3 linked regions of the Neodiprion lecontei genome follow. The protein of the gene in region 1 purifies or fractionates together with the protein of each later gene. This does not show direct contact. Links are inferred from orthologs where the notes say so. Each region holds a gene or a part of one and is shown in the gene's direction. Other genes may lie near its edges.

Evidence for each region.
Region 2: the proteins of superoxide dismutase [Cu-Zn] (region 1) and protein dj-1beta purify together in Homo sapiens (affinity purification with mass spectrometry; 4 studies listed by BioGRID and IntAct, with this or other methods). This does not show direct contact. The link is inferred for Neodiprion lecontei from reciprocal best matches to the Homo sapiens genes SOD1 and PARK7.
Region 3: the proteins of superoxide dismutase [Cu-Zn] (region 1) and triosephosphate isomerase purify together in Homo sapiens (affinity purification with mass spectrometry; 3 studies listed by BioGRID, with this or other methods). This does not show direct contact. The link is inferred for Neodiprion lecontei from reciprocal best matches to the Homo sapiens genes SOD1 and TPI1.

Annotation. Positions count from the first base shown.
Region 1 is NC_060266.1:24,806,298-24,810,599, forward strand, and holds superoxide dismutase [Cu-Zn], read left to right. Parts: upstream 1-2,013; 5' UTR 2,014-2,176; coding exon 2,177-2,242; intron 2,243-2,333; coding exon 2,334-2,430; intron 2,431-2,982; coding exon 2,983-3,170; intron 3,171-3,449; coding exon 3,450-3,560; 3' UTR 3,561-3,797; downstream 3,798-4,302. Other genes in the region: transmembrane channel-like protein 7, read right to left, coding at 1-375, 471-712, 804-978. UniProt on the Homo sapiens protein: Destroys radicals which are normally produced within the cells and which are toxic to biological systems.
Region 2 is NC_060264.1:28,362,861-28,366,579, reverse strand, and holds protein dj-1beta, read left to right. Parts: upstream 1-1,789; 5' UTR 1,790-2,001; coding exon 2,002-2,088; intron 2,089-2,348; coding exon 2,349-2,510; intron 2,511-2,655; coding exon 2,656-2,845; intron 2,846-2,940; coding exon 2,941-3,068; 3' UTR 3,069-3,168; downstream 3,169-3,719. Other genes in the region: UNC93-like protein, read left to right, coding at 1-114, 216-483, 605-864. UniProt on the Homo sapiens protein: Multifunctional protein with controversial molecular function which plays an important role in cell protection against oxidative stress and cell death acting as oxidative stress sensor and redox-sensitive chaperone and protease.
Region 3 is NC_060263.1:38,379,496-38,383,214, forward strand, and holds triosephosphate isomerase, read left to right. Parts: upstream 1-1,647; 5' UTR 1,648-1,769; coding exon 1,770-1,878; intron 1,879-2,181; coding exon 2,182-2,435; intron 2,436-2,583; coding exon 2,584-2,964; 3' UTR 2,965-3,193; downstream 3,194-3,719. Other genes in the region: histone H2B-like, read left to right, coding at 549-920; 39S ribosomal protein L20, mitochondrial, read right to left, coding at 3,251-3,499, 3,687-3,719. UniProt on the Homo sapiens protein: Triosephosphate isomerase is an extremely efficient metabolic enzyme that catalyzes the interconversion between dihydroxyacetone phosphate (DHAP) and D-glyceraldehyde-3-phosphate (G3P) in glycolysis and gluconeogenesis.

The DNA of each region.
Region 1 (4,302 bases):
TAGGTCAGTGATGTCAGTGGATGTGCTCGTGTTAATGTTCTGATATGCTTTCGAGCAGCAGGCGACACTGCCATTTGTGGAATTGGTACCGTAGACGCAGGACTCAGCTTCTGGTGCTACCATCAGTATTGTGGGCAGAAGGATAAAAGCCAGTATCAGCAGAAACAGCAGTACGTTTAAGAACATCAACCATTTTAAGAACAAAAAATATGCCACAATGCCTGTGCCAAAGTTTCCTTCAATTTTTTTCAAACTGTGGTGCCACAGTTCCATTTTCGAGTACGTCTCTTTCAACCGAACACGAAACTGCTGCCATACCTTTCTACGCTGCCATTTCAGCTGATCAAATCCTTGCAGTCGCAGTTTTGTCGCACTCTTTGAAAGAAAATAATGTTATATTAGTTACCGAATAGTTTACGTCTAATTAAACTTAGCAAAAAAGGATAATGGAAAAGCGAAGAGATTTATACCTGCAGCTGATGTTTCAGCTGTATTTTTTGAGCCATGCAAATCGGCATCGCCTTTATTTGCATTATTTCTTCCCAAATTCGTTCCTCATTGGACAAGTTTTCCGAGAGGTCAGGCAGCATCGCTACTGCGACATCGTGCACATTAGTAGACATACGTCGCACCGTACTTGCTCCACGGGATCGAGTGCTTGTTCTTCGTCTAAGCGTAGTTCGCGGCTCATTTCGAACACGCTTTGTAGTTGCTAAAACAGAGGAAATAATAGCATCTAGAAAATGAGTAAAAATGACAAACTGTCGGACGGAAAAGAGTATGACAATGATAAATTGTCTTACCGACACGGGTTTTTTTGCTCGGTAGTAACGTGGCTATGTGTGACGGATCTCTTTGCAGTGCCTGAAGGTCAGCTTCTATGGCCGCAGGATAGCTTTCTTGATAGAATTCTGCGCCAGCTTCTTCCCACCCTTGACCGCCTCCTCCGCCTCTCTTTTTTCGCTCACCGCCAGACATTTTGGTCTTGCAATTATTTGTCAGAAAGATTTACTAGACGCGGTATTCCTGTGTTTCAAAGGGTTACACAGCTGTTATGATCGGTGCGGAATATTTATCACCAGTGGCAAGATATGGTGCAGGGAACGAACTCGAGTTAATATTGTGAATAACACAGGAAATTGGACACCTTATTAACAGCTACAATACATCCGAACACGATAAATGAGAAGATATAATCAGACGTTGATCGGAAACGTACGGTACGTCCGCGTTTAACGAATTCTTTTAATCTGTGATAAGCGGTATCTTTTTAATCATTGTACCTATGAGTAATAACTGACTCGGAAACAACACATTTCACTTATCAAACCTCAATCTGGCTAAGTCCAAGATTGCCTCAGACACCGACGAGTTATACACAATTCATACGTGATCGCTGCGCATTTTCCATTTTAGTTGGAATTTACTGTTCCAGAGAGTCGGATTTCCCGATCTCCTTTTAAGGTATTTTTATAATTCTAAAACCCATTTTGGACCGAGAACAATGACCGTGTTTCTCTCATGAAACGGAGAAATAGATCGAATCGTATGATAAAAGTCTTGTCTAGGTCGAGCGAGGCTGAACCGTCAACACACTTGGGCATCGTCGCTTTAATTGTAAACGTCAAATTATTTTGGAGAGTGAGCTGCTTGATGGCTGAAAGGAAGAACACGAACCGAATGCTACCTACTCATCTCTGCTACGCGCAGAGCCCGAATCGCAAGGTGGCGTCATCTCTGAAATATCAATAAAATAAGGCGGGTGACGTTGCCTTGAGCTGGAAGCTAAGGGCTTTGATTATCCTACGCTACCGACCGAGCATACACGTACGGAGGTGGTATATCAGTACATTTTGTCTTTCTCGCTCTGCGCCGTGATTGGCTGAACTCGCTCTGCTAGCCAATCACGGTGCAGAGTGAGAGAGACAGCGTGTACTGAGATTTACCTCCATGCTATGAGCTCTATAATACTACATAGCGGGCGACTGTACCCCCATTGACCATAATATCGTTTCACACGGCACTCAGACATCACTTTGCATTCATGATTCAGCATTAGAACGCAAAATATCGGAAATCATTTCGAGTGGCCAGTTGTGTGACCAGTCGCGTTTGATCAACAGAGAGTGTTGTTACGTTCCATTTCTCCGCAACCGGTATCTCGTAATAATCCAAAATGACCGTGAAGGGGGTTTGCGTTCTCAACGGAGAAGTTAAGGGCACCTTATTCTTCGAACAGGCTGTAAGCTTAGGAAAAGATTTCTTTTACTTCTGTTTCTCATCGCCTCCTTGATACCCGCTCCTACCTCAATTCGTCATAATTGCTATTTCAGGGAGATTCTAGCCCCGTCAAAGTCACCGGAGAAGTGACTGGTTTAAAGCCTGGGCTACATGGCTTCCACATACACGAGTTCGGCGACAACACTAATGGTTTGTATTAAGAAAAATTGCAAAAATAAAAATATATCAAGGAAACTATTACCTTGTTGATATCAGCGAGAAATTACGTCGCTGATGTAGCACCATAATTTTAGATACTTCAAGTCTGACTTGCAACAAAAAATGCAATTTGACTTGGTGATCATAAGTCAAGGTTCACGGTCAACAGGCAAGGAATGAAAACTTATCTCCTTGTTATATAATCCAATACTGTCCATTAGCAATATTTGAATAGGTATCCTTGTGCTGAGTCACTCTTAACGTTATGTAATTAGACAGATTAATTTGATTACAAGTACGGATATTTTTACAAAAGATTTATGACTTGAACAATACTGACCTCGTCATTGAGAAAATTCACTGTATGAGGGATTGGTTCCTAATGACTTTACACTACATATCTAAAAATTATTCTCCATACTGTGCTATACTTTAAATTGCTGATGAATTATCACTTGTTGGGGTAACTTATCTATTTCGTAAGTCACTTCATACATTATTCAAGCTTATCTATGTATGGTATAATACAAATACTTTTTTAAGGATGCACCAGTGCTGGACCACACTTCAATCCGTTAAGTAAGGAGCATGGAGCTCCCACAGCTGAAATTCGTCATGTTGGTGACTTAGGAAACATTGAGGCTGGAAAGGATGGCGTTGCCAAGGTCAACATAACAGACAAGCTGATTCAGCTGCAGGGACCACACAACATCATTGGCAGAACAGTCGTGGTAAGTGACTGACTAAAATTATATATTTTTTTCCATGAAAGACAGATATATAGTCAGTCAAGGTGGCGAAAGACCAGGAAGCCTGGGAAAAATCAGGGAATTATGACGGACATTGAAGGTGCAAAATTTCTGGAGCTCTTGTTTGTAAAAGCCCAGCACTATAAGAAATTCTGAATTTTTTAACTAGAAAAGTCAAAAAATTGTATTTCAGGAAAATTGTCATCGCCCTGAGTACATATTATGTTAATAATGTGCTAAAAATTGTGGTGAATATCGCAGGTTCACGCAGATCCCGATGACTTGGGCCTAGGTGGGCACGAGCTGTCCAAAACAACTGGAAATGCGGGAGGTCGTTTGGCTTGCGGCGTTATCGGTATCACAAAGGCCTGACTGCGCAATAAAATCTAAAAAGCCATCGCAGATATATCGATACTGACACTTTATTCTTACTTTTATCTTGATTGTTATAATTACTATTAATACTGGTCTCTTGAACTTTCCAAAAGTTACTCGTCATTCCCTGTATGTACTATTAGCATAGATACATTGTTCTGAAGAAACCACCAACTATCTCGTTGTGCCTTGTGCCAGCGATACACATATATAATAAAATCTAATTAAAAATAATTTGGTCGCATTTCTTCAATTTTTTTCGAAACGGACATCACACCCAGTGAGTGAAATGATAATTATCACCAACGTTAAACTTTTATTTCGCATATTCGTTTTACAATTATCAATAATTAATCTTTTACGATACTGCTGTAGACTCACCTGACATTGTGAGGAAATTTTTATTGGTTCTTTGTAGAAATAACCACTTATTCATTCGATCAAGTGATTTCTCGATATATATAAATAATAACATGCGATGGTCTATACAATTTCATAAATATCCAACAATTATTATCATTCCATTTTAAAAACAAAAATATATATATTTATATATCATAGATTAAATAATCAGTTCTACTCTTCACTAAGAATAGAAGTTGAGAATTGCAAACACAAATTATCAGTCTTCGAAGCCTAATTCAGGGAAAATAGTAAGAACCATGCACCTCTATCATTTATCACTGTCGATTTTATATGTATACAATTTATTTTGGTAAATAAAACCTGCAGAATACGA
Region 2 (3,719 bases), on another chromosome or scaffold:
AAATTACTCGCTGTTACTTTGAAGTTACTGAAAGAAAAGAGACAGCTGCTCATTTTACCGATAACACTGTTCATCGGGGCTGAGCAAGCTTTCCTTTTTGCCGATTTCAACGCCGTAAGTAATCCAAGGAATGAGTCGAGAACATGGCCAATGAAATTTGCTTGTTTCCTGCCACTTCTAGCAACTCACAACCGCTTATTATTTACTAATCGCAGGCGTTCGTCTCCTGCGCATGGGGTATTAGTAATATCGGTTACGTGATGATTTGCTACGGAGTGGCAAATGCGATTGCTGCTATAAGCACGGGGTCCGTGGTAAAACTCACTGGACGAACTCCGGTAATGGTTTTCGCATTCATTCTTCATGTTGCAATAATAGTAGCACTATTGCTCTGGAAGCCGACACCGGAACAGGGAATCATATTTTTTATGATGTCGGGATTGTGGGGAGTCTGCGATGCTATTTGGCTTGTTCAAGTTAATGGTGAGTGACAATTGTAGTTGACTTGTTAAATTTAGAATCAGTTAACTTGCTATCCGGATCTTATTATTTTTACGCATCTTAATTTATGGATGAAGAAATACCGCTTATTATTCTTTTTCAGCATTGAGTGGCATTCTTTTCCCTGGCAAGGAAGAAGCTGCTTATTCAAACTTCCGACTTTGGGAAGCAACCGGTTCAGTATTAGCCTATGCTTACAGCCCCTACTTATGCACAAACATAAAGTTGTACATTTTGTTGGCTATTCTTTGTATAGGAGTTACTGGGTACGTGATTATCATTCGGAAGGGTAGAGCCAGTCGGACCATTACAGATGAAAGAAAGAACTTCGAGCTCGTTGCAACTAGAGAAGCTTCTAGCTAATTAACTCCGTACTAGCAGTGTAGGATCGGTACGACTTGCACGTGATAAATTGAATATGATATTAAATGCATGGCGAGACTAAGGGTGGAAGCATATCCAGGAAAGTATAATGTTTTAATAGTTAAGAGAGTGTCGATCTTAAAGTGATATTAATTGGTTCCGGACACTAGTTATATGGCTCTAAAAAGCGGTACGCCACAGGTGAAAAATGATTTGAAAACACTTGGCGATATTTTAGCTAGAACCAATATATCATGAACCCGTATCATCATGAAGTAATTGTAGAAATAATTCAATTTTTTCATCAGTTGTATTGTGTATGTAAAGAAAATTGTATTCTGGTAAAATTGTGAAAGGTGTAAGTGTATTCAATGGTGCCATTTGAAACCGGCTGAAAAAAAACCAGAAGCATTTTTCAAAATATTGTTACGGTTTCCCCTTTCGAATATGCATGTATTTATTTAATTAGTCAAAAATCAACGAACGTCTTTTGGAATCAACGAGTATCTTTCTGGATTCCTGGAACGGACTTCAAACGTCACGCGTCTCCTTGTACTTTTGTCCTAAAATAAATCGCCCCAGTCTTTTTGAATTCTCCTGATTATTTATGAAGCGTGTTTATTTAGCATTTCAGAGCAGCAGCGCTGCGGCGCGCAACACGGGGAGTATTTCAAATCGCTTCTCGAATCCTCGCTCGAATCGTTGCGCGCCTGTTTCTACTGGAAATTGTCCACATGACGTCAGAGCCTGGTTATCAGCGCCATTTTATCACCACATAACCAAAGTTTTTAATTTTAATGGAGGCAAATCGTAATTCTTGGGGTTTGAAATTACTCGTATCACATAAATTAATTAAACACGACCAGTAATATATGTGTTCTACTATCCACACGTGAAAAAACACGGTCAACGATCAGCAGTATGTCTCAGCTACCTGGTTGCATTAGTTTGATTTTTTTCTACTAGATGACGCATTGCAAAGTGACAATCTCAATTATATTCACGCTCTACGTTCGTCAAGCGATCAGCTGTTGCGGTGCGGCGCGTAGATGACCTTGGCTTAGAATTCTATTAAAGATTAAAGCCGAGTATAGAATACAAGTACACGGAGAAGAGGAATCAAAAATCTAATTTAAAATGCCAAAAACAGCGATTTTACTCCTGGCCGAAGGCGCGGAGGAAATGGAAGCGGTTATCACCATCGATGTTCTTCGACGTGCTGGGGTACGAATGCACATTTATTTTGACAGTATGCAACAAGATTCTACGTCGATATACCGGTATTGTTATTTTTTTTAACTTTAATATTTCGTCCTCTTAATGATCTACCTCAAACCTTAAATTCCAAGATTAAACTGGGACAAGTATGATATAAAAAGAAACCAATGTGATGAGTGCCTGAGCTACGTTTTTAAGCTTCTATAGTGCTAGAAAAAATGAGAAAATAGCTGCATGGATATTACTACGTCTCCATTTTTTTTCAGATTGCAGTAACTGTAGCCAGTCTCGACGGCAGCAATGTCGTCACATGTAGCAGAGGTGTGAAAATTTGCCCCGATGAACAACTGACGGATGAACACAAGGATAAAGCTTACGACGTTGTTATAATGCCCGGTGGACTTGCTGGCTCTCAAGCCTTGGCTAAAGTAAGGTCATGTATACATTCCGTTTACCTACAGGTATACATGGATAGTTTCAGCCTAAAACGGAAGAAAAAAAACCCTCTAAATCTTGCCTACCTGAATTGAAATTTCTGTCTGCTATCTGAACACAATGTACTTTTTATCACAGTCGGACAAAGTTGGCGCCATCCTCCAAAAACAAGCGAGTGAAAATCGACTAGTGGCAGCTATTTGTGCAGCGCCAACTGCATTGAAAGCCCACGGACTTGCCAAGGGCAAGAAAATCACTGCCTACCCATCGATGAAGGATCAGTTACAAGATGACTATACGTATATAGATGAGAAGGTGGTGATTGATGGTGAGAAACTGCACAATGAACATCAAACTTATTTATTACCTACTGCTAACTTGATGCATAAAGAGTAAATTGATGCATTTTTACTTATGATTTAGGCAATTTCATCACAAGCCAGGGACCTTCGACTGCATACTTGTTTGGATTGGCAATCGTTGAAGCCTTGATAGGAAAACCAGAAGCAACTACAGTTGCCCGAGGCATGCTTTGTGATGAGTACAAGTAATTTGGTACTACAAGACGAAGCGACGTAAGAGAAAGTTTTCCAGAAGGCTGGCCAGGATGACGAATGACAGTTTTTAATAAATAACATTACTTCTATAAGATTTACGTGTACTTCTTTTATTATTATTAAGATTAGATTCTCTCCTATACTTAAGAATTGCAATAGTGACAGAGAAACAAGAAAGTAACGTTTTCAGAAAACTCTTAAACAAGATCGATTGTATTTTTCACATATTACATTATTTCATCCTACTGCAGCACGGCTTAAAATCTAATTGGAGGAAGCTTGACTTTGTCTTTTGGGTTGAATGGTGGAATGTGAAAATCGAACCTCTGTGCTTCACATCCCGCCAGTGCCAGCACCAAAGCTGCCGCCAACACAAATACAACGTTGAGGAACTTCATTTTTGTAAATTCTGAAATCAGAATAAATATCTATGACTGGTGAAATTCACATCTATAACAACTTTTGAGTAGAAAAAATATTATCAAAACTTCTTGAACCAGGCAATTCTAAATACGTGCGTGTATGTTATATTCACAGAAATTAGGAGCACTAGAACACTGTACTGAAGAATTATTTGTTTCTAATTCGTATCTTACACAATTTCAAACTGTTCTATCACTTAACTACAGACATGATATCAAAAAT
Region 3 (3,719 bases), on another chromosome or scaffold:
CACGTAATTACAGTAAAATTTATTCAAGCAATCTCTCGTAAACACTATAAAATGTAGTAATCACGAAACATGTACTCATGATGTCAATTTTTGTTCCGGCGAAATACCCTTTGACGCAACCAATAATTATACTGTTCTAAGGAATGAATTTTTCGTCATATACATATGTATACAATTGTGATTCATAGAAAATACATTAGTATAAATCCCGCGACCAGACCTAAGTTTGATGATATAGACGAATTAGAGGTACGGAATATTATAATTATGTGGATAAATTAAGCAACCCAACATAAAATAAAGTTCGTAGAGTATAGCTTGAAATTACATGCCGACCCACAAACACGACTGCAAGCTGCAAAGCGGAACGTGCAGCCGGGCTTCTCGTTTCCCGGCATGCCCGGTGCGGGTAACGATGGGCGTGTCGTTTGGAGCTCTGTGCTCTCTGATTGGCCCGGCGGCCGTACCTGGCCGCCTAATAAATATGCTGCTTGAGAGAGCGCAGGTACAGTCGTCCTTCGATTCTCGACATCGACGCATAGGAGACAATGACGCCAAAGTCTAGCGGTAAAGCAGCGAAGAAAGCCGGTAAGGCTCAGAAGAATATATCGAAGGGTGACAAAAAGAAGAAGCGCAAGAGGAAGGAGAGCTACGCTATCTACATCTACAAAGTCCTGAAGCAGGTCCACCCAGACACTGGTATTTCGAGCAAAGCTATGAGCATCATGAACAGCTTTGTCAACGACATTTTCGAACGCATTGCCGCCGAATCGTCTCGTCTAGCTCATTACAACAAACGCTCGACGATCACATCTCGGGAGATTCAAACTGCTGTTCGCCTTCTGCTTCCTGGAGAACTTGCTAAGCACGCTGTCAGCGAGGGTACCAAAGCTGTCACCAAATACACCAGCTCGAAATAAGCGCGACTGCCTCAATTTGTTTACGAATCGGCCCTTTTCAGGGCCACTAATCATTGTAAACGCTAAAGAACGGTATTTCACAGATGTAACAGTCTGAAGTGTGTGAGGGGTAATTGTACAACCTTTTATGGCGAATTGTTTGACAATTTGGTGATCTCGTTATTTTTTTAATTGTCCAAATATCTGCATACCTTACTATCACGTCAAAATCTTTTCCCGCAATGTGTATGAAAAAGTTTCAGTATATTATACAGAATTCGGGCGCAATGCGTTGAATATCAGACAACTTCGTACGTGAATTATAGGCTCTGCAAACAGCTAATAATTATAAGATCGAATATTATCTAAGCAATAATTTTAAATTCATTCTGAGTCTTTTACCAAGCTGATATTGGCTTCATCAGTACTACATAATATTACGGATATTTAAATGCTCACATCGTGCGTCCTATTCAGATATATGTGTTCAACATTTAGCTTGCCTTCTGGAATAATAATTACCGAAAAGTGTCTGACGGGTTTGATATTAATCAAAACAAAAATCCACCTACACGTTTACTTTGAGCTGCAGGTATCCACGTGAGAAATAGATGGAAAATAGATGCACGCATGTACGGATATTATGTGCACTGGGTAGCGCGAGAGCTCTCAATCCCCTCCTGTGCTCTAAATTCTCTTGGCTGATAGAGAGGGGATGTCAAGTGGAGGGGACGACTGAGCCCAGGGCGGATTTCACCTTGTCGCTTATTGTGAAGGTCACGCTAGCAGGTATTTGGTTAAGTTCTCGCAGAGAGCAGAACAATTCGCAAGTATTCATCAGAGAATTGTCAGCAAGGCAGTCTGAGAATCATGGGTCGTAAATTTTTCGTTGGTGGTAACTGGAAGATGAATGGAGTGAAAAAGGAAATAGACGAAATCGTCGCATTTCTAAAGACCGGCCCCCTCGACCCGAATGTCGGTACGTGCAAGTTGCAATGTTACGTTTATTTCAAATAACCTACTGTGTATGTATTAACATTGCGTTTCTCCAAACAAATACAAACTAAATCTGTAGGCAAAAGCGTCGTCTCTGTTGCTGATGAAACAAAAATTGTACGTTAATACTATTTTATATTTCTCTTCTAGCACTTTCAAATTTTATTCAATATTTATTCGGAACTTTTATCTACGATTTACTCTTGTTGGGACATGACGATAAATCACTGTATTCTATCAAAGAGTCAAAATATCTTGTCACTAATTGCGTTATTAACTTTTTCAGAGGTCGTTGTTGGTGTACCTGCCATTTACCTGAACTATGCCAAGAGTATATTACCTGCCAACGTACAAGTCAGTGCACAGAACAGTTACAAGGTAGCTAAAGGTGCTTTTACTGGAGAAATTAGCCCTGCGATGCTTGTGGACAATGAGATCCCTTGGGTAATCCTAGGACACTCTGAACGTCGAAACGTGTTTGGCGAGTCAGATGAACTCATTTCTGAAAAGATTGCTCATGCCCTTGAAGCTGGTGTAAAGGTAAATCCTTTGGATTAAGTCTCAGTTCTCAATTTTTACATTGGATTGCTTTTTTTTTTTAATAAGAATATTTATACAATAGGTGTGTTGTAACTCGATATGACTCTTGACAGTATTGTATATATCTTATTTATTTTTCACCCTAAAGGTGATTGCCTGTATCGGAGAGAAACTGGACGAACGTGAAGCTGGAAAGACTGAAGAAGTTGTGTTCAGGCAGACTAAGGCGATTGCGGATAAAATCAAATCCTGGGACAATGTTGTACTCGCTTACGAACCTGTATGGGCCATCGGTACAGGAAAAACAGCAACGCCTCAACAAGCTCAGGAGGTGCATGACAAACTTAGGCAATGGTTATCAACGACTGTTAATCCTGCTGTCTCTGAATCTCTGAGGATTATTTACGGTGGTTCTGTGACAGCAGGAAACGCCAAAGAGCTAGCTAAGGAAAAAGATATCGATGGCTTTTTGGTCGGCGGTGCTTCTCTGAAGCCAGATTTCGTACAAATAGTTAACGCTAAGCAATAGACCTAAGTTGATAAGTTTATTGTGTTGGTTGTTACTACTATTAATAAATGTGATTATTGTTACTCTATGAACGAATGTATAATACATATATAGAAATTTACTCAGCGTTAGAGTAAATGGGTACAACAATAATACTAATAATTCAGTCATAAACATCTGGTTCAATTACTAAATATATTTATCATTTTGTTTATTGTATTAGTGAATATTATAAATTACGTTACATCAGCTTCTCATCAATACTATATTATTCTCTATAGCTTAAGTTCACTTCATTCTCTGAAGTTCACTTAAGCATTCCTCTTGTTATTACACCAGGTGGTGTTTTTACATACATCACATCATTAAGACCATCCTGCTTTCCTCTGGCAATTGCTAATTGAGTCAGTGACTTAAAACTTCTGGGTTCCCATATTGCCAGATCAACCAGAGTCTTTCTATCGATCAGAATATTGTTTCGCATCAACGCCTCTTTAAATGTCCGGAGATTTATATCATGCTCGGCACATGCAGCTGTGAGCCTTGTGTTCCAGAGCTGGAAAATTAATAGATCACAACATTGATAATATTGGTAAGATACATTTTGAAATTTTGCATGAAATATATGAACATTTGCTTGTATAGATTCCTGTTACAGTCGCAGACATATTCTTAATATGTGTCAAGGTGTCAGGTAGAATTTTATGTCTTCTACAAATGCTTAGGTTCTATCGAGTACTTACATTCAACATATCAGCTTTCTTGAGCTTCCTACT